Anolis sagrei: one gene and its partners. The protein of the gene in region 3 binds, or shares a complex with, the protein of the main gene of each other region. Links are inferred from orthologs where the notes say so. Each region holds a gene or a part of one and is shown on either strand. Other genes may lie near its edges. The genes, in order: PIGP, PIGH, PIGC and PIGA.

Region 1 (7,542 bases), on a different chromosome or scaffold from region 3:
CATATAATTTAATACAAAAGTTAGAATAATCCAGACCATAGTATTTCTAATTTCTGTATATGAAATTAGACCTCAACGGCGGAGCAGGCGGAGGATAACATGGCACATGTTACAACGGCTGCGAAGGCGGAAGAAGGCTGCAACAGACTGAGAAGCCATGGTCATTGTGTTAAACTACATCACCAGTGGAACCTCATCTGTGAAGACTGTGTGTTGTTCAGTTGTGCACTGACCTCCACACATTAAAAAACCCACGCACAGGCGTCTTCCAAAGAAAATAAAAACAAACCAACCAAAGTCCCATGGCGATCAGCGAGTGGCGACGGGGGCAGGACTGTGAAATCTGGAAGCCCCTAGTCACAGACTGGCACATGGGCGGTGGGTACGGACTCAGTCGTTCTACCTCAAGGTCCGAGGCAGTTGAGTAGTTCGGCAGCTGTATCCGCGACTGAGCAGCCCTATTGAGGACCCACTCTGCTCACCCCACACGGGGAGGGGGCTAGAAAAGGTGCCCTAAACATAGTCTGCCTCACTTATCCCTGACTGGACTGCCGCGTCCAGTGGGGTCACCATCCTGCGGCCAAAAAAGAAAAATGAACTTCGGTACGTGGAACGTACGGACACTGATGGACAACAGTGACAGTGAACGCCCCGAACGCAGAACTGCCATCATCGCAAGGGAGCTGGGACGCTTCAACATCGACATAGCAGCCCTTCAGGAGACCCGGAGAGCAGGAGAGGGACAGCTGAAGGAAGAAAAAGGAGGCTATACCTTCTTCTGGAAGGGACTGCCTGAAGAAGACCAAAGAATGCACGGAGTTGGCTTCGCTATAAGAAATGATCTGATGAAACATCTGTCCGAAGCACCCACTGGCATCAACGAACGACTCTCCACCCTCCGAATTGATCTTGCCAAAAACCAACGGGCAACCATCATAAGTGCCTATGCACCAACACTAGACGCTGATGAAGACATCAAGGAGAAATTCTACTATCAGCTGGACACTGTCCTATCGGGGATACCTAAGGAGGACAAAATCATTCTCCTGGGGGACTTCAATGCAAGAGTCGGGCGAGACTTCGACCTGTGGCCAGGCACCATAGGAAAAGACGGGGTTGGAAACAGCAACTCGAATGGCATGACAGGTGCTGACGACTGCTGGACCGACCACAGGCTAATCCGATCCACGATGGCTATCAAGATCGCCCCCAAGCGCAGACTCCAAGGAAGAAAGACAAGGCGCAAAATGAACACCCAAGCCCTTCAAGAGCCCTCCAGGCGAGCCCATCTCCAAACTGCACTCAAGGACCATCTACCCACAGTACACCCCGAAAATGTTGAGGAACATTGGAACAAACTGAAGACCTCCATCATCCAAGCCTGCGAAGAAACTATTGGATACCAAGCCAAGAAACATCAAGACTGGTTTGACGAAAATGACATCGAGATCCAACAGCTAATCGACAAGAAAAGGAAAGCCTTCCAAACATGGCAGAGAGACATCAACTGTGCTGCTAAGAAAAAGATCTACGCCAGTGCAAAAGCTGAGGTCCAAAGAAGGACAAGAGAACTCAAGAACATCTGGTGGACAAAGAAGGCTGAAGAAATCCAACACCTGGCAGATACCCATAATGCTCAAGGATTTTTCAAAGCCACAAAGGTCATCTATGGGCCAAGAAACCATGGCATACAGCCTCTACGCTCATCAGACGGAACCAAACTCCTGAAGGACCAAAAGTCAATTGCACTACGTTGGAAAGAACACTACCAAAGCCTCCTAAACCGCAGCTCCAGTGTGGCCGAAGAGGTCCTCTCACAAATCCCGCAACAACAAACCAGGGATGAGCTTGCAGCACTGCCTAGTTTGGAAGAAGTCAGCAATGCCATCAGCCAACAAAAAAACAACAAAGCCAGCGGACCGGATGGGATCCCTGCTGAAATCTTTAAAGAGGGAGGACCTGCGCTGACACACCAACTCCACCAGCTCATAGAAAAAGTGTGGGTGACCGAGAAAATCCCAGCAGACTTCAAGGATGCCACCATCATCACCCTCTTCAAAAAAGGGGAAAGAACAGACTGCGGAAACTATCGAGGTATCTCCCTTCTAACCTCTGCTGGAAAAATCCTCGCAAGAATCCTTGCAAACCGCCTTCTGCCCCTCTCAGAAGACACCCTCCCAGAATCCCAGAACGGCTTCCGCCCCTCCAGAGGAACTGTGGACATGATCTTCACTGCACGACAGCTCCAAGAAAAATGCAGGGAACAAAACCAACCTCTGTACATGGCATTCATCGACCTTGCAAAGGCATTCGACACAGTGAATCGCAGCGCTCTCTGGACCATCCTCCAAAAAATCGGGTGCCCAAGCAAATTTGTGAACATCCTGCGGCTCCTCCACGATGACATGATGGCAACAGTCTTAGATAGCAATGGCTCCCAAAGTGACCCATTTAAGGTGGAATCGGGTGTCAAACAGGGATGTGTTATTGCCCCAACTTTATTCTCCATCTTCATCGCCATGATACTACACCTTGTTGATGGGAAGCTTCCCACCGGAGTGGAAATCATCTATCGGACAGACGGCAAGCTATTTAACCTCAGCAGACTGAAAGCCAAAACCAAGGTCACAACAACATCTGTTATAGAACTCCAGTATGCTGATGACAATGTCGTCTGTGCGCATACAGAAGAAGATCTACAAGCCACTCTCAACACCTTTGCAGAAGCATACACAAAGCTTGGCCTGTCACTGAACATCGAGAAAACCAAAGTGCTGTTCCAGCAGTCACCAGCCGCCTCCTCTCCAATGCCAGAGATACAGCTTAATGGTGTAACATTAGAAAATGTCGACCATTTCCGCTACCTTGGCAGCCACCTCTCCACCAAAGTCAACATCGACGCCGAAATACAACACCGCCTGAGCTCTGCAAGTGCAGCATTTTCCCGTATGAAGCAGAGAGTGTTTGAGGACCGGGACATCCGTAGGGATACTAAGGTGCTTGTCTATAAAGCTATTGTCCTCCCAACCCTGCTCTATGCCTGTGAGACGTGGACTGTCTACAGACGTCACATGCAGCTCCTGGAACGATTCCATCAGCGCTGCCTCCGGAAAATCCTGCAAATCTCCTGGGAAGACAAGCGGACAAACGTCAGCGTGCTGGAGGAAGCAAAGACCACCAGCATTGAAGCAATGGTCCTCCAACATCAACTCCGCTGGACAGGCCACGTTGTCCGGATGCCTGACCACCGTCTCCCAAAGCAGTTGCTCTACTCCGAACTCAAGAACGGAAAACGGAATGTTGGTGGACAGGAAAAGAGATTTAAAGATGGGCTCAAAGCCAACCTTAAAAACTCTGGCATAGACACTGAGAACTGGGAGGCCCTGGCCCTTGAGCGCTCCAGCTGGAGGTCAGCTGTGACCAGCAGTGCTGCAGAATTCGAGGAGGCACGAGTGGAGGGTGAAAGAGAGAAACGTGCCAGGAGGAAGGCGCGTCAAGCCAACCCCGACCGGGACCGCCTTCCACCTGGAAACCAATGCCCTCACTGCGGAAGAAGATGCAGAGCAAGAATAGGGCTCCACAGCCACATGCGGACCCACAGGGAAACCCATGATGGAAGACCATCTTACTCGTCCAACGAGGGATCGCCTAAGTAAGTAATATGATTGTGAAAGCTAGACAACAAAGAAAGCAGACAGGAAAACAACTAATTTGAACTGAGGTTCTGGAGAAAAGTTGTACAGACGAATATTTGCTTCACTAGGAGCAAGGATAACTAAACAGGCTGTAGTAATTTGGTCATATCATGAGACAACATGGCATTGGTAAAGTGGAAAAGTGGATACAAGTGGATTGATTCAATCTAGAAAACCACAGCCCTAAATTTGTAAAATCTGAGCAGAGCAACTGATGACTGGAGACCTTGGAAATCTCTCTCATAGGATCACCATAACTCTTAAGATAACAGTTAAAGACAATGAAACAAAACTAATTTACAGCATGGTTAAGTCTCTAGTCCTTGTAGAAGCCAAGATACGCAGCAAAACAGAAATGTTCTGTCAATTTGTTCTGCAGGAAACAAGTCCGCTTAGGTGAGAAAAACAAGAGTAAGAGATGTTAGCGGTGCTGCACAAAAAAAAGCAGAGGTCACACCTTTGGACATGAGGCAAGATGAGGGAGTAGAGAGTTAAGAGAGCATGTAGCGGTGCATGAGAAACAAGCAAGAGGCATACCACAAAGGAATAAGGCTAAGCAAGTAGAAGTGATGGAAGGGTGAGTGGTTGTAGTGTCACCGTACAAAAAAGGAGGGGTGCGTTAAAATAAAGAGAGGTGGGATTGGAAAGGAAAGTGACAGATGGAGGGAAAGAAGGGTGAGAGGTATAGTAGCAGGATCTGAAGAGTAGAAGAAAGAAATGGTGGTCTATGTACCGGAGAAGGAGAATGTCAAAAGGTCAGTAAAGGGGAGAAGAGAATATTATTAAAAAATCATTCTGGTATACAATATTTTATCTAAAATAGATAAATCAGTCATAATTTGTTCACTTGATTATTCAATAATAATGTTGTCTATACAGCAGGATTTTCAGACATCAACAGTGGAATGTTAGATATAACATTAAAAAAAACAGTTGATAAGGTTTTGTGCAAATAAATCTGGAAAGGTGAGCAAATGAAAAGAAATAACCATTGATTGTGACTGATCATTCTATTTACAACTTAAAAATTGTATTCACACTTGTCCCCTATAGCTATGTTTAAGCGTATATAAATGGCCCTGTAATCCAAGGTATGTGGCTGAGCAGTTATTTACAGTCCTTGTCTTCTGATTGGCTGGATTTGGGGACTGAGGTAATAGCAACCACATCTTTTTAGAGTACTTCATGATAGACAAAAATAAAACAAAACAACTTGAACCCACAAATAACATTCCAACTCATTTTATTAACCAAATATGGCAAAGCGAAGGTAAGCTATCACCAGGAAAAGACACATTGATACTTGCAAATGTTAATTGGAATGTTGGATTTAAAACACTGAAGAACACTGATTCAATCTATTCTTGATTGAATTAGTTGCAGGAGTATTCTCTTGCCAAATGTGACTGTAAATATCAAGGATATTTCAGAAAATGGTATGATAGTGTTGCTTTCTTGTCTCTTCAGAAAATTGTATAGTAAAGAACCTATCTATATTTAACAAAAACAAAAGTGTTGCAATTTTTACAAATGATATCCATAATAATTTTAAGTATTTATGGTGAAGTTTGATATGGAAAACACTAAGAAATTAAAATTTGACTCTGAGACTTTAATACAGCAAATAAGGTGCTAGCAGAGTCGCAAGGTGTCTCTTTAATAGTTGTACAGAATAGGGAATTTTTAGCACTTGGTTAAATTCTCTCTTCTACAAAGCCAAAGTATGAGAGCCTTTATTTTGATTGGCAACTCTGGTAGAATTAATTTTTTTCCAGTTGAACAGGTATATGTTTTGTTTGTGATTCCCAATGATGTTACTACTTAGGCAAGTGTATGTGTTACTGCTTGTACTTCCAGATGTAAAACTGGTTCTGCCTTGGCTGGAAATGGCTAGGTTTCCCCCATCATGCATATTCTGAAACTAGATGTACACGAATACAGCTTCATTTGCAAAAGAGGAATTGCATACATACTGGTCCATGCACCGATCATGAAATCTGATGTGTTTCCCTTACCTTTTGATTTCCCCCTCCTTTCTCTTAATTTGGTTAAGCTTTTTTCGGTTAGGTAGGTCATATTGTTTCATTCCTCATTCCTGAATTTATTTGGGTTGTGCTCCCATGATAAGAATGATTTACAGGATAAGGTGGGGTTTGAATGATTAAAGAAATGAATGAATGAATGAATGAATGAGGAAATAAAATATAGAAAATATTATACGTGGTCACAAAAGCTTTGTACTTATAGACAGATAACCATGTTCACAATATTAATTTGAAATTCAACTCTAAAAGGGAAAAAAGAGTCTGGTGTATTACAGCCCATTAGATTAAACCAGAGGTCTATGAAGTCCAGCAAGAACATATTGTTGAATTAAACAAGAGATCTATGAACCTACAGCATTCTGTTTCTGTCTGTAGCCAACTAAATACTTCCAACAAACGTAGCAAGGTATCATTGAGGAACATCCTTCAGACTTTGCCATTCCAGCTGGTGAATTTGGGAGCAAGAAGCACAATGCTGGGGATACTGGGATCTTGTAGTACAGATGTACAATGTATGGACATTTTAAGGAAATTAGGAACATTTTTTTTCTCCATTTTAAAGAGAAATGTCCAGACAAATTGGGGGAAAATGATGCTATCAAATATCCTAAAGACACAAGATACTGTATAATCTTTGAAGCTCAGCAGGGCATCCATTTTTCGTATTGTATAGGAGATCGCCAATGAATACCAGGTGACATAGGCTGTGCCTCAGAAAAAGAAACTGGCAAACCACCTCTGTGTATTCCCTGCCTAAAGAAAGCCCAATGAAATTAATTGAGTCATTATCAGTTGATAGCCAGCTTGAAGACACATACATATGCACTATTATTTATGACTAAAATTATTTTGTTACTTTAAGAACATAAACTATATTGTATGCATAATGTGCTACAATTATAGTTTTTAAAATATAAATTACAATACTGTACTTATTCTATTAAAATCAAATAATACAGTTACACACTGATTTATCTTTTTATAACATATTTTGTTATAACATAACACAAATGTAGCAAACTATCAACATTAGTAAAACAAAGAAAACTATTTTGTCTCCATAATGTCAAGAAGACATAAAGTGTTCAGTCCCATAAAAGAACTGAAAAAAGACAGGAAGACCAGAATTTGTAATGATCAGACACATCTTTTCTAGCAGATAACTTCTCTTCTTTGCATTTCCTTCACAATGAATTGATATTTTAATGAAGGTTTAATTTACCACAACTCTGGGATCTCTTTCTTAGCTTGTTACTATTAGTTCAGATTCAATACAGATGCTGCATATGTGAAATAAGGTTTACTTCCAGTGTGAATCACTATGCAAATATCACCTAATGTATTACTTCATTGCACAATTAGTTTGTTCAAACTATTTTTAATATTAAATGTTTTTAATTAATTTTAATAATTTCAAAAATAAAAGAAATTCTTTTCCTAAAGCCTAGCTAGAAAAAAGGAGGGACTTCACATAACAGTAAAATATTAGCTTGCCCATCCATATGTTATTTTATGCATAGTCAAGTGCTAACCACCCAAGTGTCTGTATTTCTTTGTTAGGCAATATTGATCTCTCTCTTTATTACACTGGAGTTTGTAAGTCCTTATTTAGCAAATTATTTCTAGAATTTTGTTGCAATGATAATGACAGGGCTGAGAAAGGTGGTATACAAATCCAGCAAATAAATAAAGTGTATTAACTAGGACCAAACTTTTTCCATCACAGGAACTGAAACAGAAGCTTGAGCTGAAATTTGAGTTGGATTCAGAGCAGAAGTGCAATCTGCAAGGCTTCATGCTCC
Region 2 (7,166 bases), on a different chromosome or scaffold from region 3:
ACACAAAAAACTGGGAAAACATATTGACTCAAGTATAAGACGAGGGTGGGAAATGCAGCAGTTACTGCTAAATTTAAAACATAAAAATAAAAATAGATACCAATAAAATTACATTAATTGAGGCATCAGTTAGGGTTAAATATTTTTGAATATTAAAACTGTAATTTAAGATAAGACTGTCCAACTCTGATTACCTATATAATCGAGTTTAAGCCAACCCGAATATAAGCCAACCAGGACCCTCACTCAAGTATAAGCCGGGGGGGGGGGGTGTTCAGCCCTAAAAATGTCTGAAAACTTGGCTTATGCTCAAGTATATACGGTAATTAATAAATAGATAATGCTTACCATATAGATGGCTTCGTTGATGACCACATCTTTTATCTGGCTCATTTCTATAAACGCCGTACTCTCTTTGCCGGACGCATAAGATGATGTCATCTGTATCCCAAGGGAGCCAATGATCAGCAGGGACTCCTGGTCGATCTTCACGAAGTGCAAGTAGACAAGCAGGCCGATCAGTGTGACAAATATGGCAGCAGAGAGGACTACACTGTTCTGAAAGAGAAAACAAGCAGGTGACTTACAACTACATTTAGCAATTGACCAAACAGAAGCCAGTTGTGTTTCTATCCATTTGACTCGTACGCCTGGCAACACATTATATGACAATCTTCAAAATGAAAGGCAGGCTGTGCAAGCTTGTAACCATGGATTCAAATTATAAAGAAAGAAAGAAGGGGGGAGGAGAACGTGGCACCTTTAAGACTAGTTTTTATTTTAGCATGAACTTCTTCAGATGCAGTACAGACTGATATCAAGGCTTCAAGTATAAAGCGTATTTATACAGCTGTGGGAATGGAATAGAAGATATTATTACCATATACTTCCGGTTGTTTTATTCCATAATGCTGTCCTCATATTGCACTTACCCCCATCTTTCGGAAGGCCTGTCTCCACTGTTCCATCCCCTACGAGTTCCTCCCTTTCATATATACCTTTTTCGTTCTTATCTCATCTAGTGTTTTATCACTTTATGTCGTACATTTGGCCCACACTGTTTTATTTTACTCTTATATTCATTGCTATTGTTAACTGTCATCACATCAGCTTCCTCATATAGTAATCCTGTGAATGAAAGATGTCCAATAATGCATCTATATATAGTAAAATTAATATAAACTGCCAGGGTTCAACTTTGGCCACATCATGAGGAGACAGGAAAGCTTAAAGAAGACAATGATGCTGGGGAAAATGGAAGGAAAAAGGAAGAGGGGCTGACCAAGATGGATGGGTGGTATCCTTGACGTGACTGGCTTGACTCTGAAGGAGCTGGGGGTGGTGACGGCCGACAGGGAGCTCTGGCGTGGACTGGTCCATGAAGTTACGAAGAGTAGGAAACGACTGAACAAATGAACAATAAAGCCAGGGTTCAAGGCTATGGAATCAAGGAAGTTGTAGTTTGGGGAACACACAAACTTTGGCAAAGAAGCCCAAAGTCCTTGTAAAACTGCAGCTCCCACGACTCCATAGCAGTAAGCCATGGCACTTAAAGTAGTGTTAACCCACATTAATTCAAGTGTGTAGATGCACCCCAATACATCCTATTATTTTCAGACTTGCACAGGTCTTTGAAAGTCAGGCTCATTGAATTTGATGGAAAGTAGGAGGAAGGTCTGATCTTCTTAGGTGATCTTCTTGGATTGTCTTCCAAGATCAGTGTACTGGCGGTGGGTCAGTAGGTGACTGTGGAGCCCTATTCTTGATCTGCATGTTCACCTGCAGTGAGGGCATTGGTTTCCAGGTGGAAGGCGGTCCCGGTTGGGGTTGGCTTGACACGCCTTCCTCTTGGCACATTTCTCTCTTTCGCCCTCCATTCGTGCCTCTTCAAATTCTGCAGCACTGCTGGTCACAGTGACCTCCAGCTGGAGCGCTTAAGGGCCAGGGCTTCCCAGTTCTCAGTGTCTATGCTGGAGTTTTTAAGGTTGGCTTTGAGCCCATCTTTAAATCTCTTTTCCTGCCCACCAACATTCCGTTTTCTGTTCTTGAGTTCGGAGTAGAGCAACTGCTTTGGGAGAAGGTGGTCGGGCATCCGGACAACGTGGCCGGTTCAGCTAAGTTGATGGCGGAGGACCATTGCTTCAATGCTGATGGTCTTTGCTTCTTCCAGCATGTTGACATTTGTCCACTTGTCTTCCCAAGAGATTTGCAAGATTTTTCTGAGGCATTGCTGATGGAATCATTCTAGGAGTTGCATGTGACTTCTGTAGATAGTCCACGTTTCACAGGTGTATAGCAGGGTTGGGAAGAGTATAGCTTTATAAACAAGCACCTTGAGGAAGGTATGGCAGAGTGGTTTGAGCACTGGGTTATGACTCTGAAGACCAGGGTTTTGTTTCCTCATCTGACCATAGAAACTCACTGGATGAGTCACACACACTCAGCCTCAGATAACACAGTCCATTGCCCCTACAACAGGGTCGCCATAAGTCACAAACAATGTGAAGGTACTCAAGAATAAATACCCCCACCCCTTGAATTCAATGGAAGATTCTGATACAGCAGGCAGAGCAAGAGGAGTGGGCTAAACCATATGAAACCGGGGGGGGGGGGGATTGAAGTAGAGAAGGGCTGCCTGTCTACTTACTGAGGGGGGTCCTTAACCAATTGGGAGACGCCCTCAGGTTCGCCCCGCCCCTAGGCCTAAGGGAGAGCAGGGAGTGGGCGTGGCTTCTCGGATAACAGTTGTGTATTGGGAGGGGGGGCGTTACCTCGGTGAGGACGAAGAGCCCGTAGGCCGCGAGCCACACGGAGCACGTGGCGGCGCTGAGGGAGCGCAGCTGGAGCCGCGGGCAGCGCACCTGGAACTCCCGGCAGGCGGCGCTGTGCTGGCGGCGCTGCAACGTGATGCGCTGCCCGGAGACAGTCAGGAAGCTGCGCTCTTCCTCCGCCATTTCCCAGCGGCGATGGAGGGAGCGACGAGCGCGGGCCTCCGAGGCGCCTAGAGCGGCTTCTGCTCCAGCTTCCGGTTGCGCGACGTTCGGGAAGCCCCGCCCTCCTCCGGAAGGAGCTGTCTCTTGTGCTGGAAAGCCTCCCCCCCCTCCAGCCTCTTTCCCATTTCTCCTGTCCGGCGACTGCAAAACACACACTCCCTCGTTTGTGTTTTCGATTAATGGCGACTCTAAAACGAATCTACCACGAGATTTTCTGACGCTGGAAGTGTCGAGCTGGGAGTCCCCAGAGTCTCAATCTATATAAATAAAAATGTAATGTTCATTTGTGGGGTTAACAGAACTCAAAAACCATAGGACGAATTGACACCAGATTTGGACACAAGACACCTAACAACCCACTGTATGTCCTTCACTCAAAAAAATTTGATTTTGTCATTTGGGAGTTGTAGTTGCTGGGATTTATAGTTCACCTACCATCACAGAGCATTTTGAACCCCACTAACGATAGAATTGGGCCAAACCTCTCACACAGAACCCCCATGTTCTGTCTAACACTAAAACCACTGCACCAAGCTTCCCCATGACCCTTTGCATAACCGAATGAGAGTTACCTTCTCGGTTGTTGACTAAAGGCGCATCTACGTTGCAGAATTAATTCAGTTTGGCACCACTTTAACTGCCATGGCTCAGTGCTACAGGATTCTGGGACCTATAGTTTGGTGAGGCCTCAGAGCTTTTTGGCAGAGAAGGCTGAAGGCCTTGTAAAACTACAACTCCCAAGACTCCTTTGCATTGAGCCATGTGTGGCAGTTAAAGTGGTATCAAACATTATGCATTATTTCTACAGCTTTCCTAAATCTATTGCTAATGTGATTAGGATCATCCTAATAGAATCATCCGGATGCTGATTCTATTGATGAGACGTGATGGATTGTTGTTTTCCTGTATTGTTGTATTGATGTCCTGATGTTAACTAATTGATATTACTGTTTTAAATGACTAATGATTTTGTACTGTATTGTTGATACTGGCTGTTAACCGCTCTGAGTCACCGTTGGCTGAGAAGAGCGGTATACAAGTGAAGTATAAATAAAAAATAAAATAAAATCCCTACGCAGCTGTTGGTTGGGAGAACAGTGATTTTTATATACCAAGTTAGTGGTGGCGGTGGGGGAGCCAACATTTATTTCTTTCCATGTATCTTATTAAATACTTAAATGTCCTGATTTGCCCTCAAGAACAGCCTTAATACAATGTTGAAAGTAAAAGAAAAATGCTTTACTTCAGCAAACACAAAAATAACAGCAAATGTGGTTGAAAAATGTAAAAGAAAGCAAGAAAGTTTCAATGCAGACACAAAACTAAAGTCTCTAATAAGGTCCAAAATAAACAGTAGTTACATCAGAACACAGCCAATGATCACTAAATCCTTAGAAGCAGACACAAAGGAGGTACAATTGGAGCGAAAACATCAGCATCAAAGTCATTACCAGCTAAAGCTAACTGCTCCTGCTTCTGATTTATAGCCCTGAATTCCCCATGCAGGAGTTGCTGGGGTGGCTTCGAATTACCTCAGCATTTCTAGCAGCTATTATAGCTGAATACTGTCTGTGCTCGGTTTCCTTTCACCTCTCCAGAAATGTGGGCACTTGCAAACCCAAACCCTCATCGTCTGATTCCTCTTCCCCGTCCAATTCCTGAGCATTTCCCTGCCCCCCTTCCTCTTCTGAAGATGAGGAATCCCTAACATTAAACAACAGATTTACTTGAAGTGGTTGGGACAGCACTGAAGTGGTTGGGACAACTCCAACCCAGATCGCATTTCTTTCCTCCTGTATCCCTCCATGAACTGACCTAGAAACAGCCACTAGACTTCAAATCAAGCTACAGCATTTTATTAAATTTCATGCCACCCCTGCAAACCTACCAACAGTGACAATGGACTGTGCACATATCAATGTGGAGATCCTAGCTGGCATTGACCTAGACCAATCAGCAACCAACATGACAAAATTTATTTGGGTTGTTGTAGGTTTTTCGGACTATATGGCCATGTTCTAGAAGCATTCTCTCCTGATGTTTTGCTGCATCTATGGCAAGCATCCACAGAGGTTGTGAGGTTTGTAGTTTCTTTGTTTTGGATACCTGTATTACAATGTGTTTTTATGGCCAAAACATGGCCTCCAGACTCAAAGTCCTGTGCTTAAAGCACAGCGCCATCTCCCTAATTACAGCCATGGCAGTGTTTTTCCTGACTTGAAAAGGAATTTTCCATTCGGTGTGGGGTTTATCTGGGACTGGACTAGAAAGTCTCACTCACCTACCATATGTTAAATCTATGTAACAGGCAAACTTGGTCCCTCAGGCCCTTTCCTTTCCCCCATCGGCTGCTTAAGCATACTATAGAGCATGCATGAGCAAATTTGGGCCCTCCAGGTGTTTTGGTCTTCATCTCCCACAGTTCCTAACAGCCTCAGCCCCCCTCCTTTTCCTCCTCAGTCTCTAAAGCCTGAGGCTGTTAGGAATTGTGTGAGTTGAAGTCCAAAACACCTAAGTTTGCCCATGCCTGCTCTAAATGCACCTCTGGCCTCAAGGCTTGTGGACACTGTTGCTGGAATATCTTTCCTAACCTTCCTGGCCAGCACAGAGAGTGATGGGAGTTGTAGTCCAACAGTAATTGCCCTCTCTCCCCGCCTGCAATGGAGTCAGTGGGGCTTCCTTCCCAGGGATGAGCCTGGAATTCTGGGAGTGCTTTCTCTGTGACTCAAACCCGCCGCGAATGTTGCGAGGCGGGGGCATGTGGTCCTCCCTTCGGTCCGCCTGTGGGCCCCCAAGCCGCGCGAAGGGGAGGGGGTGGTCTTTCCTCCCCTGAAACATGGTCCGCGCCGCTCGGTTCCTTTCCTCTTTACTTTCCGCCGCGGAAAAGCTGTGAGGCAAATGGTTTCTCAACTGTATTCTGCAATGTAGATCAGGTATGGGCAAGCTTGGGCGCTCCAGGTGCTTTGGACTTCAACTCCCACAATTCCTCACAGCCTTAGGAGGTTTCCCCCCTCAGCCGCTTAAGCGGCTGAGGGGGGAAAGGAAAGGGCCTGAGGCTGTGAGGAATTGTGGGAGTTGAAGTCCAAAGCACCTGGAGCGCCCAAGCTTGCCCATACCTGGTGTAGATAGATGCAACTCGGGTGGAAAAGCAGAAGCTGCCCATTTTAATCTTAAACTTTAATCCGGCGGGATGGATGGATGGCTAACGCTGAGAACCGGAGGATAGAGAGAGAGAGAGAAAAGGAAAACAAAGCCAAAGAGGGAAGCCAGCCAACACTCTCCGGGCACGTTCCCTTCCTGGCGCGCGCCGGCTTCGAAGGGGGCTCGGGCGCACACCTCCGGCCAGCTCGGCGCTGATTGGCTCGCGGGAGATTAAAGGCCTGGGCCCACGACCAAGGGGGCGGGGGAGGAATCCGAGGAAGGGGGCGTGGCCTCGCGGTGGGCGGGGCGCCGCAGTGGATATAAAAGACTGGCGTGGGTAGCGGTGCCGGTACTCTTTGATTAGGCGGCGCGTGATCTTGTCTTCCTTTTTTTCCCTCTCGTTTTGCCGCTATGTCGCTACGCAGCAGCTTCGGCCGGCTCCTCAGGCAGCGGGCGGGATCCACGTTGAGGGTCCAGAAGAGACCGGCGCACTCGGTGGCCCTGATTGGAGCCCCTTTCTCCCGGGGCCAGGTAAGCCAAGCAGGGGAGAAGAGGAGGAGAAAGGGCTGGGCAGGCTGAGCGGGAAAAGGAAAGGGATTGAGGCTTTCCAGACAAGAAACAATCAGGGCCAGCTAATCACCTCCCAACAAGGTTTTACCCCAGGCAGTAAGAAGCCAGACCTTGAAACTGCTAGGCCATTAAATGGTAATCAAGGTGGCCAACTGCAATATTCACACTTGCCTCGGCAGTAAGAAGCTAGACCTTGAAACTGTTTGGCCATTAAATGGTAACCAAGGTGGCCAATTGAGGTTTCCCCCCAGGCAGTAAGAAGCCAGACCTCGAAACTGTTAGGCCATTACATGGTAATTATGACGGCCAATTGAAATATTCACATTTGCCTCGGCAGTAAGAAGCCAGGCCTCGAAACTGTTAGGTCATTAAATGGTAGTCAAGGTGGCCAATTGAGGTTTTCCCCCAGGCACTAAGAAGCCAGACCTTGAAACTGCTAGGCCATTAAATGGTAATCACGGT
Region 3 (7,689 bases):
CCATATTGAGAGATAGTGTACTGGACACAATCGCAGCATTGGCTCCATAGTCATAAAAGATCAAGTGTCCTAGCAGCATAAGGGCAGACATAGCGTAAATTGTATCTGTGCTGATGGACTCTGTTAAAGTCTTCAGTACTGGAGAGAAGCCATAGGTGAAAGCCACAAATACCACAGCATTCTTCAGATCAGCCCACTGTGACTGGTCACTCTGACTTTTTCCTATTCCTGATTCAACGGCATCAAAGAGGACATAGCCGATTAGTGAAGAGATCAATCCAGCTCCAAACAACCACTGGGGAGCTAGCAGTCCCACATCCATGTACCACCAGATGACAACAAAGACACACACACTGCACAGCTGCTGGATCACCAGTCCAGATTCAAATACCACTGCCCAGTACTGGTATTTACGTGCATGGACATTTTTGCGTAGCTTCTCTAGAAAGCTTCGGTCCACATAGTTATCAGGAAATGGCTGCCTCTTGTATAACACTTTCTGCCAGCATTGTCTTCTGTTCTGTGCCATCTGGAGTCGCAGCATGCATCTGGCTAAATTACTGCCTTCAAGATCCACTTGCACTGGAATACCGTATTATGTCACAGAAGATGAAACCTGTATCGATATTTCTTGATGATTTTCCAGATTTTTAGCTGAAATCTAAAAGCAAGACAACATAATTAAACCAAGTTTTCCAAAATCCAGATACAAGTAGGCAGTCCCCTTATTCACATATCATCACTACCAATAAAAATGAAAAATTCAATTAGCTAATGGAAAACATGGTTCAGAAAATGGAAAAGTCAGTACCCTGGGTGATACCAGATTGATTGGTCAAATCAAAGGAGGTGTACTTATTTCCTTTTTTATTTTCTGTGTTTAAATTATTGTGATTTTACATTGCTTGATGTGCTTATTTATATTAGGTTTTTTTGCATTTTATATTTTTATTTTTTATATTTTATTGTCGTTGTATGTTGTTTATTTGCATTGCTGTATTGTTGGGCTTGGCCTCATGTAAGCCACTCCGAGTCCCCTTGGGGAGATGGTGGCAGGGTATAAATAATGTTTATTAATTAATTAATTTATTTATTTATTTATTATTATTATTATTATTACTTACCTCCAGAACTGAAGGCCTTGTCACTGCTGAAAAAAAAAAAGAGTCTACTGATGAGGCAAGGCAATCCAATTGTGAGCAGGAATTAATTCCCTTTTTGCTACCCTGCAAAAAAGCAGAAGATGTAAAAGAATATGAGATAAGGGAACTTTTCCACGGAAGCCCATGAAGGCTTTTTCCCTTGGCGCTTACAACTCTCTTCAAAGAACAGCAAGGAAGTGTGCAAGCAAGAGAACACAATTGTTTTCACATTTTCTATCTTGTTCTTACATTTTCCTTCCTGAGCACCATGATTAGCTGCTGGATCCATTTCATCTTGTTTCAGGCCTGGTTTGGCCACTTTTGTAGATGACCTACAGAGAGACCTAGCCATAATGTGTTCCTGTGGATTCTACTGGCTTTTGATAGCATTGACCATAGTATTCTTATGGACAGCCTCACTGAGCTGTGGAGGCATTGTTTTCCTCCAAGAATGGGCAACTTGGAAGCCCCTAAACAGACTCAGAAGTGGAGTGGGCAGATCAAAAGACAACATGGCAAAATGGCACTACCTAAAAGAATCCCACACCTTGTGTGACTGTGGAGCAGAACAGACAACTCCGCACCTGTGTGCTTGCCCACAATGCCCTGCCTCATTTACAGAGGAAGAATTGTTGGAGGCTACAGACAATGCCATTCCTGTTGCCCGTTTTTGGTCAAAAGATATTTAGCTGTCTGCGCTCCTTCTATTTTTATTGGTTCTATACTAATTTATGCAATGCTTTTGATACGAAATAAATAAATAAATAACAAGGTTAATTAGCACTGAGCAGCTGCAAAGTCAATCAGTGAGAGGCAGCCTGGCTGTTGTTAGCCTGGAGGCATCTTTTGTTTGGGGGGTATTAACTGGCACTTGATTGTAACCCAGTAACATTTATTTATTTATTTGTCATGTCAGGGCAACCAGTTAATTATATTACATTTCTAACAGAACAAAGCAAACAAACAAACAGACAAAGTACAACATTTGTGAGTTTGGTAGTTGATTAAATGTCCTTTGACCAGAATCTGGCCACTTGGAGTGCTTCCGGTGTTGCTGCAAGAAGGTCCTCCATTGTGCATGTGGCTGGGCTCAGGTTGCATTGCAGCAGGTAGTTAGTGGTTTGCTCCTCTCCACATACGCATATCGAGGATTCCACTTTGTAGCCCCATTTCTGAAGGTTGGCTCTGCATCTTGTGTTGCCAGAGCGCAGTCTGTTCAGCGCCTTCCAAGTCGCCCAGTCCTCTGTGTGCCCAGGGGGAAGTCTCTCATTTGGTATTAGCCATTGGTTGAGGTTCTGGGTTTGAGCCTGCCACTTTTGGACTCTCGCTTGCTGAGGTGTTCCAGCGAGTCGTATTTCATAGCGTTATTATTATTATTATTATTATTATTATTATTATTATTATTTAGTACTCCTACAACTCCCATAATTGCACAGCAAAAAGCAAATGTGTCAAAATACATTCATTCAAAATATAACTCTGATCATGAGGCCCTCGCTAAGGGCGATCAGGCTGCAGGCCCGCTTCCTCTTCACATTAAGAAGCCCCCTCCCCTCATTCCCGCGCTTTTGTGAGGCACTGTCTCAGAGGGCCTAGTGCGCGCGCGAGCCTTCTGCGCGCGCACCTCCTCCTCTCACGCATCGCGCCCTACGTCCTCCCGGCACGAGCCCCGTCTCTACGTCAGTCAAGGGCTGAGGGGGCGACACATCCCCTTTCCCCCTCCAGAGCTTCCTGTTAATAATCCCACTGCTGGAAGGGCTGGAAGGGCCCTGGCCTTACCTTCCTCTCAACTGACAGAGGCGGCCCACAGAAGAGAGGAAGGCGGGGATCTGGGCCGTCCCTTTTCCTCCCCTTCTTCCTCGTTGGTGACTTGCGCCCACTGCCGTTCCAAGTAAGAGACGCCTCAGGTTGGGTCCCTTTTCCCTTCACGTACATTGGACCTCATCCACAGAGCATCTGTCTCTTTAAATCCTGTGTCTGCCTCCGTCCCGCTGAATTCTGGGGCTTGTAGTTTAGGGAGGGGCCTTTAAGCCGCTCAGCCAGGCAGGTGCTGGGCCTCACTAAACTACAAACCCCAGAATTCTGCAGGAAGGAGGCGGCCATAGCATTTAAAGTGGATCCATGCTCTAGTTCAGAGTTTCTCAAACTTCTTCATCCCCTTTTAAAGGAAAGGTTTCTCATGGAGCCCCAAGAAATGTTTATATATTATACTAGCCGTCTCCTGGCACACATTGCTGTGGCCCAGTCTTTATATATGTGTTTTGTGTGTGCATATACTGTGCTGTCGCACGCTGGGCCTGTGCATCAGACTGTAGACAGGACATAAATTCTGTGTGCCCAATGGGACGCCGGGGCTGCCTCAGATTAAAGGTCCTTGGATTTCCTTAAAACAAAGTCTTTAGATTGCTTAAAAGTTCAACAAAGTTTATTTATTTGGGGTTCTTTTACCCCGCCCTTCTCACCCCGAAGGGGACTCAGGGCGGCTTACAAAAGCAAAGGCACAATTCGATGCCTGCATCATAAAACAACCATACACAAAATTACATCAATTCACAGTTGACAACAATTTATGCACTATAACCATAAAATCAATAAAATCAATAAAACCAAATACAAACCCAATTTCTCCTCTTACATGGTCAGCGTTCGTTAACTCATAGATCTAGTTTTACATTCCACTTCAACAATCCTGCTGGTCTTACTCGCCTGATTGTCTGATTTAATTGCCAGAGTGCCCAAAGGCCTGGTCCCATAACCAAGTCTTCACCCTCCTCCTGAAGGCGAGGAGGGATGATGATGCCCTAATTTCCCCCGGGAGTGAGTTCCACAGGTGAGGGGCCACCACTGAGAAGGCCCTGCTTTTCGTCCCCACCAGCCTCACTTGTGACAGTGGTGGGGTCGAGAGCAGGGCCTCCCCAGATGATCTCAGACTCCGGGGTGGGACGTAGAGGGAGATACGTTCGGACAGATACACTGGACCAGAACCGTATAGGGTTTTGTAGGTCAAAACCAGCACCTTGAATTGTGCTCGGAACTGAATCAGCAGCCAGTGGAGCTGGCACAGCAGGGGGGTGGTATGCTCCCTGTATGTCGCTCCGGTGAGCAATCTTTATTAATGAAAACAAACAGGCTGTTCAAGGAGCTCCACTGGCTGCCATTTATCTACCGAGCCCAGTTTAAGGTGCAGGTGCTTACCTACAAAGCCCTGAACGGTTTGGGACCAGCCTACCTGCGTGATCGCATCTCCGTCTACGAACCCACACGCTCTCTTCGTTCATCTGGAGAGGCCCTGCTCATGATTCCACCTGCGTCGCAAGCGTGTTTGGTAGGGACACGAAACAGGGCCTTTTCCGTGGTGGCCCCCCGACTCTGGAACACCCTCCCGAAAGATCTTAGACAGGCCCCTACATTGGCAGTCTTCAGAAAGAACTTGAAGACCTGGCTGTTCCGATGTGCCTTCCCCGAATAGGAAACCTCCAAGTCCCATAAGCACTTTATTAAAGTTAAAACCGTTGCACACCGCACACTGCACTTGCCCATAAGCCTCATATTCCACCTGTCACATCAGCACTTTTAACCCTTGTACCCTTACTCTGGCCCGGCCCAGTTTTATTGTGTCTTAGTGGATTGTTCATTGCTGTTGTTTAGTTTGCTTTAATTGTTTTTAATTTGCTTAGGTTTTGCATTGTTGTATTGTGTGTTGAGGCCTTGGCCTTTGTAAGCCGCATCGAGTCCTTCGGGAGATGTTAGCGGGGTACAAATAAAGTTTAATAATATTTTAAAGCTTTCTTAACAGTCTATTGGCTCTTGCAATCTTGTTCACTGGGAACAGGCACTATCTTCATAACTGTATACTAACTAATGGGGAAATCCTTAACTTCTAATCTGGGCAGTCTGTCTTTGCCTCTGTTGGTGTGGAGCCCCTACACCCGGTACCAACTGCGTCTGGCTTCCGCGAGCGACCCTTACCAAGCAGAGCTTTGTAGACTTCCAGGGGAAAAGAAGGAGTTCAGGTTTCAGTGATGGCTGGCTGAAGTCCTTCAGCAAAAGAGCTGTAAGGCTGCAAAATCCTCAGCCAAGCTATGGGGCCTTTTCTCCTTGGCCAAGCTGTAGAAGACGAAGCTTTCTACAGGAGTTCTTGGTTTTATGTCCTGTATGGAAAGCTTCTCTGTGTGTACTGACCCAAAAAGGCTCCTATTCCCTCCAAAAACCCAAAAAGGGGGCGGGACCAGGGAACCTAACTATAATTGACAGGTGGCTTGCCCTATGATTGCAGCCAAAAGAAGCCACCTATCTGCAGAGTCTCTGAAACTTAGGACTGCAACAGACATTCAGTACAAAGCAAACAAAATTGGAGCTCCTGGTACAGTTGTACCAGCACATATACTCATATATGTGTGTGTATATATTTGTGTGTGTGTGTGTGTGTGTTTGTGTGTGTGTGGTTTTGTGCATGCGTTGTAATGGGTTTTTTTTTTAATTTTTGGGCTTTTTAAGTCTCTTCCCTGTGTTTTTCAGTGTTTTTATGAGTCATAATCACTTGTTGGGCTGATAGGTGTATTGTGTCCAAATTTGGTGTCAATTCGTCCAGTGGTTTTTGAGTTATGTTAATCCCACAAACAAACATTACATTTTTTAAATATAGACTAGCCGTCCCCTGCCACGCGTTGCTGTGGCCCAGTCTGGTGATTTGGAAAATAATGAGAAGGTGTTGATTTCTAATATATGTAATGTATTTGTGCGTGTGGGTAAGCAGTATATATTGTTTCTTTGTCAGTGCTGATGTGGAGATGGTCTGGTTTGCCTACTTTGGAATAGGCAACATATAATTGTCCTTCTTTAGGGGTCCCTTTCAAATCTGATACTATATCTCTCTGTGTGTGAATCATATATATCTATGGCTGGATGGCTCTTTGTCAGGAGGGCTTTGATTACTTTTTCTTCCCCTGGTAAAGGGAGTTTGACTGGGTGGCCTGAAGTATTTTCTGTTGGTCATGGGGGTTCAGTGTGGGATGTTTGCCCCAATTCTCTCGTTCGTGAGGTTCAGAATGCTCTTTGATTGTAGGTGAACTATAAATCCCAGCAACTACAACTCCTAAATGTCATGGTCTATTCCCCCCAAACTCCATCTGTGTTCATATTTGGGCATATTGAATATCTGTGCCAAGTTCAATCCAGATTCATCATTGTGTGAGTCAACAGTGCTCTCTGGATGTAGGTGAACTACAACTCCCAAACTCAAGTTCAATGCCCACCAAACCCTTCCAGTATTTTCTGTTGGTCATGGGAGTTCGGTGTGCCAAGTTTGGTTCAATTCCATTGTTGATGGAGTTCAGAATGCTCTTTGATTGTAGGTGAACTATAAATCCCAGCAACTACAACTCCCAAACGACAAAATCATATTTTTTTGAATGATGGTCACTCCTTGTGTTGTGTGACATTTTGTTGCCAAATTTGGTGTGATTTCGTTCATTGTTTTTAAGGTACTCATTATGCACAGAACATTTATATATATATAGATAGTCTGCCCACCCCCCATCAGACTGTGAACTGGCCCTCAGTTTAAAAAGTGTGGACACCACTGCTTTACAGAATTTCCATGTGAAATAGAGGGACATGTTGTACTTTATAAGTTTGCTGTGCTCAATTTTTTCAAAAATACAAAACAATTTTAAGACTATATTTGATACATTTTATTCTCTTTTATTTAAGGATATAATTGCTGTTGTATATTTTGTGTTTTTTGAAGGGGTTAGTAATAATTGGGCAAAATTTAAATCATGGTATGTTTCCCAGTCTTGTTTCACAACTTACTTGAAAGAAAGTCACATTTTTGTTCAGTCTGAACGCTTGACTGCTATGCAGGATTGTATGCCTCTTGTTTAAAATATTTTTAATGTCTGATTTCCTTTTTGTTTTATTGTATTGGATATATACCTAATCAGTACAATGAAACCAAGAGATCCATGTAATATGAAAAGTGCACCTCTCTCATCCTAGGTAGTCATGAATGTGATGAGTTTTTAAAATGACCAAAGAAGCCCCAAGGAATGAAAAGCCAAGGAACATAAACCAGAAAAAAGTTGTGGAGTCTTTGGAACTATTGTTGACTGTCGTCTTCAAGGGCTTCAGAACTCGGTCCCACTCTGTCAGGATTGTGCTTCTGGCTTGTTCCCATTTCCCAGGTCCAGTCAGACGGAATTGATAAGAAGTGCAAGGTCCACAAAGAATTTTAAAGGCTAGTTGGGGGTCCAATAGGAAGAGCAACAGCAAGTTAGGCTTAACCCCTATACAAGCAGCAATTTCATCCATGTAGGCAACAAAGCTTGCCTTTGCACTGTCCTTTTCCATGGGAAATCCCCTGTAGTAGAAGAGAAATAGAAACACCATCAAGCTTTCAAGCAATCCCAATCATATTCTAGTCATAAAGCTCAGCACAGACCTCCACAGGATTATTCAGGTATTTGTTACTGAACATGTGAAGGAGCTGGGAAAAAGTAAAGTAATAGCCCACCCTCTGTTGATTTAGGACAGAGGTCCTCAAACT
Region 4 (7,358 bases), on a different chromosome or scaffold from region 3:
TATTATCCCATCTAGATGCATCTGGAGTGAAGTCAGTAGGGTCAACAGCATTAGGGATAACGGAGACTATCTCAGGATTCAGTGCCGCTCTCAACACAGTGTTCTCCTTGCTAGTGTACGAAACACATATTATGTGATTTGTATCACACAGCGATACAGTCAAGAGTTTATTTGTGAGCACTGAACTGACATCAGCAAATCCAAAAAGAGAATGGTCTGTGAAAACCGTCCGTAGCTGCATTGTCTTGGCATGGAAGAGTGCATCGTGAGCCATAGCGGAAAAGGAACTATGGGCATGGATGATGGTGACTCTTTCCCGGACAAATATATACCTGAGCAAAGGCAAGCTGTGGAATAGAGTTGTTGCTGTAGACTGGTTGTACATAACTCTTAATGGCAAATAGTAGACTTTCAATCCATTTGTGAGGTATCGAATGCCTTTCCGGTCTTCGTAAGCATGGGTGACTATGATCACTTTGTGTCCTCTTTCAATCAGGCACTGTGACAGTTGGTAGATGTGGCTTTCTACTCCTCCCATATTCGGATAAAAAAAGTCCGACACCATGCATATACTATGGCTTTGACACGGGTGTGTTGAAGGCTTATGAGAGTTCACAGTGGGAGAGGGTGTGGAGGAGAGAAACTGTCTGTGATTTCCTCTCCTTCTACTGGCCATATTAGATAAGCAATCCACCTACGTGACAGCCATTCAGTATGAAGAACAGGCCCCATTCATTACCTATGACAGCAAACAGAGCAAAACGTATTACATCATAAAACTCAAAACCCCTGCAGGTATCTTTAGGTAAAATTACAACATTTAGCTGTACAAGCCTATGCATGCTTATTCAGAAGTATACAACACCCTGTTCAAGAGTTGATTTTACCTCTAGTGAGTGGGTTAGATTCAGTCATACATACAGAAGGCCCATTACAATTATTGGGGGTTATCTGAAGTATATGTAACGAAAATGGTTTCAATACAAATTGACAATACAAAAACAATTTTTAGTCTTGCTTTAGAGTTCCAACTGGGTTCTAATTATTACTATACTGCCTATTACAGGGAATACCAGCTGATCCTTAATCCATCTAAAACACAGACATGTGCTTTTTACCTTAAGAACAGACAAGCATCTCGAGCTCTGAGGATTACCTGGGAAGGAATCCCACTGGAGCATTGCAGCACACCCAAATACCTGGGAGTCACCCTGGACTGTGCTCTGACCTACAAGAAGCACTGCCTGAATATCAAGCAAAAAGTGGGTGCTAGAAACAATATAATAAAAAAGCTGACTGGCACAACCTGGGGATCACAACCAGACACAGTGAAGACATCTGCCCTTGCGCTGTGCTACTCTGCTGCTGAGTATGCATGCCCAGTGTGGAACACATCTCACCACGCTAAAACGGTGGGTGTGGCTCTTAATGAAACATGCCGCATTATTACGAGGTGTCAGTGTCCTACACCACTGGAGAAATTACACTGTTTAGCTGGTATTGCACCACCTGACATCCACCAGGAAGTAGCGGCACTCCAAGTAGAGGCACTCCAAGTGGCCAGCTACTGGTCAGCGAGTGTCTCTGTAGATCTTAGAAAACTATTTCTTGATTTAAGTCGTTGACGTGCTGGCTGATACACAAAGGGGTGGGCTGGAGATGTCACTGCCTTGGTCCTTTCACTATTAGTTGCTACTTCCCGGTGGATGTCAGGTGGTGCAATACCGGCTAAGCAGTGTCCTTTCTTCAGTGGTGTAGGGCGCAGACACCCCATGACAATGCGGCATGTCTCATTAAGAGCCACATCCACTGTTTTGGCGTGGTGAGATGTGTTCCACGCTGGGCATGCATACTCAGCAGCAGAGTAGCATAGCGCAAGAGCAGATGTCTTCACTGTGTCCGGTTATGATCCCCAGGTTGTGCCATTCAGCTTTCGTATGATATTGTTTCTAGCGTTTTCGAACTGCTAGGTTGGCAGAAGCTGGGGCTGACAGTGTAAGCTTATGCCGCTCCCCAAATTCGAACCTGCAACCTTTCGGTCGACAAGCTCAGGGCTATAACCCACTGCGCCACCGGGGGCTCCTCATTTATATAGATAACTGTATTCTCAATTTGCTCCTGAGGGTTGTTGTAGGTTTTTCCGGGCTATATGGCCATGTTCTGGAGGCAATTTTTCTCCTGACGTTTCGCCTGCATCTATGGCAAGCATCCTCAGTACCTCTGAGGATGCTTGCCATAGATGCAGGCGAAACGTCAGGAGAAAAATTGCCTCCAGAACATGGCCCGGAAAAACCTACAACAACCCAAAATAAATTGAATTGATATTAAAAAAGGATAATACATTCTCTCCCACAGATAATTATGTGACATGTTCATTCCTCCCTAACTTGAGCCCCTTCCACACAACTGAATAAAATCCCACATTATCTGCTTTGAACTGGGATATATGGCAGTGTGGACTCAGATAACCCAGTTCAAAGCAGATATTGTGGGATTTTCTGCCTCGATATTCTGGGTTATATGGCTGTGTGGAAGGGCTCTGGCTGTCAAACAAAAAACACCACAGGGCAATGCTAACACAAAATCAAGCTCAAACAGCACAATATGAGGGATCTCTTTGCTTACAGGAAAGAAGTACTTTATATAAAGATGATAAAGAATTGGGTCATCTTAGGGCCCATCTACACTGATCATTTAATGCAGTTCAAAGACAAGAAACTGTGCATTGAGCTGCTTTTTTCCAGTAGAAAATCATACTGAGAAAGCACACATCCTGTTCTGATTCTTACTGGAGTGTTTCACTAGTAAACCCAAAAGGAAACTCAGGGACTTCTCCCTCTGCTACGCCCCACGCGGTCCCTCACTCACCTGCCGGCGGAGTCTGTCCCACTTCCGGGTTCACTCCGGGCGGGAGTCGTCTTTCGTCACCTTAGCCCCGCCCACTCGGCCCCGCGAAGATTTCCGGGTGTATAATAACCCAACCAGGCAGAGCACGTGACCGGAGAAGAGCCAATCCGATTGGGCTAAATTCAGGCAGGGTCTTCGAAGGGAACAATTTTAACAAATATAATAAACTTATTAGTATCTCAATGGGAAGTGTGGGCCTGCTTTTGGCTGATGAGATAGGACTGTTGTTGTTGTGTGCTTTCAAGTCATGAGGAGCGGCTTAAAGAGCTGGGCATGTTTAGCCAGAAGAAGAGACGGCTGAGAGGAGACATGATAGCCATGTATAAATACTGTTGAGAAGCACTGCTCTAATCTGTTAAAATCGTTTTGAATTCTGAATGTAAGATGAATGTATTGCCAGCTCTGTGAGTCTGATGGGGAGGCAGAACTCCAAAGGGGGCGATTCTGTCCCTTTAAGAGACGATTCTCTCCCTTAAAGGAACAGTAGCCCATACTTTTTACCTCTCAGTGTGATGAGGCGGGGAAACTGCTGCCAGGTTTCCAGAGCGCCTGCGCGGGGAGAGCAGGGGGCGTGGCTTCTTGGGTGGGGCCGGGCTCTTCCCCTCTCAAAGTGATTTATTTATTTATTTGTCGTGTCAGGGCAACCAGTCAATTATATTACATTTCTAACAGTACAAAGCAAACAAACATACAAAATTTGTGAGTTTGGTAGTTGATTAAATGTCCTTTGACCAGTATCTGGCCACTTGGAGTGCCTCTGGTGTTGCTGAAAGAAGGTCCTCCATTGTGCATGTGGCAGGACTCAGGTTGCATTGCAGTAGGTGGTCTGGGGTTTGCTCCTCTCCACATTCGCATGTCGAGGATTCCACTTTGTAGCCCCATTTCTGAAGGTTGGCTCTGCATCTCGTGGTGCCAGAGCGCAGTCTGTTCAGCGCCTTCCAAGTCGCCCAGTCCTCTGTGTGCCCAGGGGGAAGTCTCTCATTTGGTTTCAGCCATTGGTTGAGGTTCTGGGATAGAGCCTGCCACTATTGGACTCTTGCTTGCTGAGGTGTTCCAGCAAGTGTCTCTGTAGATGTTAGAAAACTATTTTTTGATTTAAGTCGTTGACATGCTGGCTGATACCCAAACAGGGGGTGAGCTGGAGATGTCTCTGCCTTGGTCCTTTCATTATTGGCTGCTACTTCCTGTCAGGCTAAACAGTGTAATTTCTCCAGCGGTGTAGGGCGCAGGCACCCCGTGATAATGCGGCGTGTCCACTGTTTTAGCGTGGTGAGATGTGTTCCACACTGGGCATGCGTACTCAGCAGAGTAGCACAGCGCAAGGGCAGATGTCTTCACTGTATCTGCTCGTGATCCCCAGGTTGTGCCAGTCAGCTTTCGTATGATATTTTTTCTAGCACCCACTTTTTGCTTGATGTTCAGGCAGTGCTTTTTGTAGGTAAGAGTACGGTCCAGAGTGACTCCCAGGTATTTGTGTGCGCTGCAATGCTCCAGTGGGATTCCTTCCCAGGTGATCTTCAGAGCTCGGGATGCTTCTCTGTTCTTGAGATGAAAGGCACATTGTGTTTTAGATGGGTTGGGGATCTCAAAGTGATGAGGAGGGGCAAGTCCTGACAGTTTTCCACAACGCATGCGAGGGGAGAGCAGGGGGCGTGGCTTCTTTGGAGGGGTGGGGCAGTGGCCCATGCTCTTCCCCTCTCAGTGTGATAAGACATGCTGCATTATCACAGGGTGTCTGCACCCCACACCGCTGGAGAAATTACACTGCTTAGGTGGTATTGCACCACCTGACATCCGCCGGGAAGTAGCAGCCTATAGTGAAAAGACCAAGGCAGAAACATCTCCAGCTCATCTCTTGTTTGGGTATCAGCCAGCACGTCAACGACTTAAATCAAGACATAGTTTTCTTAGATCTACAGAGACACTTGCTGGAACACCTCAGCAAGCGAGAGTTCAAAAGTGTCAGGCCCAAACCCGGCACCTCAATCCATGCGTGATACCAGATGAGAGACTCCCCCCAGGGCACTCAGAAGACTGGGCAACTTGGAAGGCGCTGAACAGACTGCGCTCTGGCACCACGAGATGCAGAGCCAATCTTAAGAAATGGGGCTACAAAGTGGAATCCACGGCATGCGAGTGCGGAGAAGAACAAACCACTGACCACCTGCTGCAATGCACCCTGAGCCCTGCCAAAAGCACAATGGAGGACCTTCTTGCGGCAACACCAGAGGCACTCCAAGTGGCCAGATACTAGTCAAAGGACATTTAACCAACTACCAAGTTTGCAAAATCTGTGTTTTTGGTTTTTTTTTTTTAATCTGTGTGTTTGTTTTGCTCTGTTAGAAATGTAATACAATGGTATGGTTGCTGATGACACGATAAATAAATATATGTGATAAGGCGGAGCAACTCCTGCCAGGTTTCCACAGCGCCTGCGCGTGTTTTCTTGAGAGGGGCCGGGCAGTGGCCCATGCTCTTCCCCTCTCAAAGTGATGAGGAGGAGCAAGTCCTGTCAGTTTTCCACAACGCATGCGCGGGGAGAGCAGGGGGCGTGGCTTCTTCAGAGGGGCCGAGCAGTGGCCCATGCTCTTCCCCTCTCGAAGTGATGAGGGGCATGTCCTTTCAGTTTTCCACAACGCATGCGCAAGGAGAGCAGGGGGCGTGGTTTCTTAGGAGTAGCCGGGCAGTGGCCCATGCTCTTCCCCTCTCAAAGTGATGAGGAGGGGCAAGTCCTGTTAGTTTTCCACAACGCATGCGCGGGGAGAGCAGGGGGCGTGGCTTCTTAAGAGGGGCCGAGCAGTGGCCTATGCTCTTCCCGTCTCAAAGTGATGAGGAGGGGCAAGTCCTGTCAGTTTTCCATAACGCATGCGCGGGGAGAGCAGGGGGCAGTGGCCCATGCTTTTCCCCTCTGAGTGTGATGAGGAGAGGCAAGTCCTGTCAGTTTTCCACAACGCATGCGCAGGGAGAGCAGGGGGCGTGGCTTCTTAAGAGAGGCCGAGCAGTGACCCATGCTCTTCCCCTCTCAAAGTGATGAGGAGCAACTCCTGTCAGTTTTGCACAACGCATGCGCGGAGAGAGCAGGGGGCGTGGCTTCTTCAGAGGGGCCGAGCAGTGGCCTATGCTCTTTTCCTCTCAAAGTGATGAGGAGGGGCAAGTCCTGTCAGTTTTCCATAACGCATGCGCGGGGAGAGCAGGGGGCAGTGGCCATGCTTTTCCCCTCTGAGTGTGATGAGGAGAGGCAAGTCCTGTCAGTTTTCCACAACGCATGCGCAGGGAGAGCAGGGGGCGTGGCTTCTTAAGAGAGGCCGAGCAGTGACCCATGCTCTTCCCCTCTCAAAGTGATGAGGAGGAGCAACTCCTGTCAGTTTTGCACAACGCATGCGCGGAGAGAGCAGGGGGCGTGGCTTCTTCAGAGGGGCCGAGCAGTGGCCTATGCTCTTTTCCTCTCAAAGTGATGAGGAGAGGCAAGTCCTGTCAGTTTTCCACAACGCATGCGCGGGGAGAGCAGGGGGCGTGGCTTCTTGGAAGAGGCGGGACAGGGAAAGGAGAAGTGGTCCTTCTGGCATCCGAGAAGGGCCGTGCCGCCTGCGGGAAGCCGGGGCAGTGGCGATGGGGCCTGCTTCCGCCCGCCGGCCGGCCTCCTGCGCCCGAGGGACCCGCTCCCGCGGCGCCGGCCTGATGCTCCTTCCTTCCATGCTGATGTTCGGCGTGATCGTGGCCTCCAGCGGCCTGCTCCTGATGATCGAGAAGGGCATCCTGTCTGCGGTGAAGCCCCTTCCGCTGCCTCCCTCGCGGGGTGAAGTGTCCTGGCGGAGGGCCCCGGCGGCAGAGGGCGAGGAGGAGGGCGAGGCGGTGCTGCGGGACACCCGCAACCGGACCCTGCGCGCCGTCTGCGGGCAGAAGAGCATGCCCGGCAGCGCCTGGGACCTTCCCGCGGGGCAGAGGAAGACCCTCCTCAAGCACATCCTGGTCAGCGACAAGCACCGCTTCCTCTACTGCTACGTGCCCAAGGTGGCCTGCTCCAACTGGAAGCGCATCCTGAAGGTCTTGGGCGGCGCCCTGGAGAGCGTGGAGGTCAAGCTCAAGATGGACCACCGGCGGGACCTGGTCTTCCTGGGCGACCTCAAGCCCGACGAGATCCGCTACCGCCTCAAGCACTACTTCAAGTTCCTCTTCGTGCGGGACCCCATGGAGCGCCTGCTCTCCGCCTACAGGAACAAATTCGGAGAGATCAAGGAATACCAGCTCAAGTACGGCGTGGAGATCGTCAAAAGGTACCGGAAAAACCCCGGGAAGACCGCCGGGGACGACGTCACCTTTTCCGAATTCCTCCGCTTCCTCTTGGACGAGGAGCCGGAGAGGATGAACGAGCACTGGATGCCCATTTACAACTTGTGCCAGCCCTGCGCGGTGAGGTACGACTTTATCGGATCCTACGAAAGACTGAAGGA

What was found.
Region 1: PIGC (region 3) and PIGP share a complex: the UniProt entries of both Homo sapiens proteins name them as parts of the glycosylphosphatidylinositol-N-acetylglucosaminyltransferase (GPI-GnT) complex. The link is inferred for Anolis sagrei from reciprocal best matches to the Homo sapiens genes PIGC and PIGP.
Region 2: PIGC (region 3) and PIGH share a complex: the UniProt entries of both Homo sapiens proteins name them as parts of the glycosylphosphatidylinositol-N-acetylglucosaminyltransferase (GPI-GnT) complex. The link is inferred for Anolis sagrei from reciprocal best matches to the Homo sapiens genes PIGC and PIGH.
Region 4: PIGC (region 3) and PIGA share a complex: the UniProt entries of both Homo sapiens proteins name them as parts of the glycosylphosphatidylinositol-N-acetylglucosaminyltransferase (GPI-GnT) complex. The link is inferred for Anolis sagrei from reciprocal best matches to the Homo sapiens genes PIGC and PIGA.

Annotation. Positions count from the first base shown.
Region 1 is NC_090023.1:71,911,278-71,918,819, forward strand, and holds the start of PIGP (phosphatidylinositol N-acetylglucosaminyltransferase subunit P), read right to left. Parts: upstream 3,003-7,542; 5' UTR 2,865-3,002; intron 1-2,864. UniProt on the Homo sapiens protein: Part of the glycosylphosphatidylinositol-N-acetylglucosaminyltransferase (GPI-GnT) complex that catalyzes the transfer of N-acetylglucosamine from UDP-N-acetylglucosamine to phosphatidylinositol and participates in the first step of GPI biosynthesis.
Region 2 is NC_090021.1:281,994,735-282,001,900, reverse strand, and holds the start of PIGH (phosphatidylinositol N-acetylglucosaminyltransferase subunit H), read right to left. Parts: upstream 3,007-7,166; 5' UTR 2,955-3,006; coding exon 2,772-2,954; intron 559-2,771; coding exon 349-558; intron 1-348. Other genes in the region: ARG2 (arginase-2, mitochondrial), read left to right, coding at 6,546-6,665. UniProt on the Homo sapiens protein: Part of the glycosylphosphatidylinositol-N-acetylglucosaminyltransferase (GPI-GnT) complex that catalyzes the transfer of N-acetylglucosamine from UDP-N-acetylglucosamine to phosphatidylinositol and participates in the first step of GPI biosynthesis.
Region 3 is NC_090024.1:131,145,938-131,153,626, reverse strand, and holds the start of PIGC (phosphatidylinositol N-acetylglucosaminyltransferase subunit C), read right to left. Parts: upstream 3,008-7,689; 5' UTR 2,922-3,007; intron 1,767-2,921; exon of another isoform or gene 1,392-1,766; intron 1,227-1,391; 5' UTR 1,125-1,226; intron 662-1,124; 5' UTR 545-661; coding exon 1-544. Other genes in the region: dimethylaniline monooxygenase [N-oxide-forming] 2-like, read right to left, coding at 7,134-7,503. UniProt on the Homo sapiens protein: Part of the glycosylphosphatidylinositol-N-acetylglucosaminyltransferase (GPI-GnT) complex that catalyzes the transfer of N-acetylglucosamine from UDP-N-acetylglucosamine to phosphatidylinositol and participates in the first step of GPI biosynthesis.
Region 4 is NC_090026.1:63,179,779-63,187,136, forward strand, and holds the start of PIGA (phosphatidylinositol N-acetylglucosaminyltransferase subunit A), read right to left. Parts: upstream 3,011-7,358; 5' UTR 2,869-3,010; intron 740-2,868; 5' UTR 677-739; coding exon 1-676. Other genes in the region: CHST14 (carbohydrate sulfotransferase 14), read left to right, coding at 6,340-7,358. UniProt on the Homo sapiens protein: Catalytic subunit of the glycosylphosphatidylinositol-N-acetylglucosaminyltransferase (GPI-GnT) complex that catalyzes the transfer of N-acetylglucosamine from UDP-N-acetylglucosamine to phosphatidylinositol and participates in the first step of GPI biosynthesis.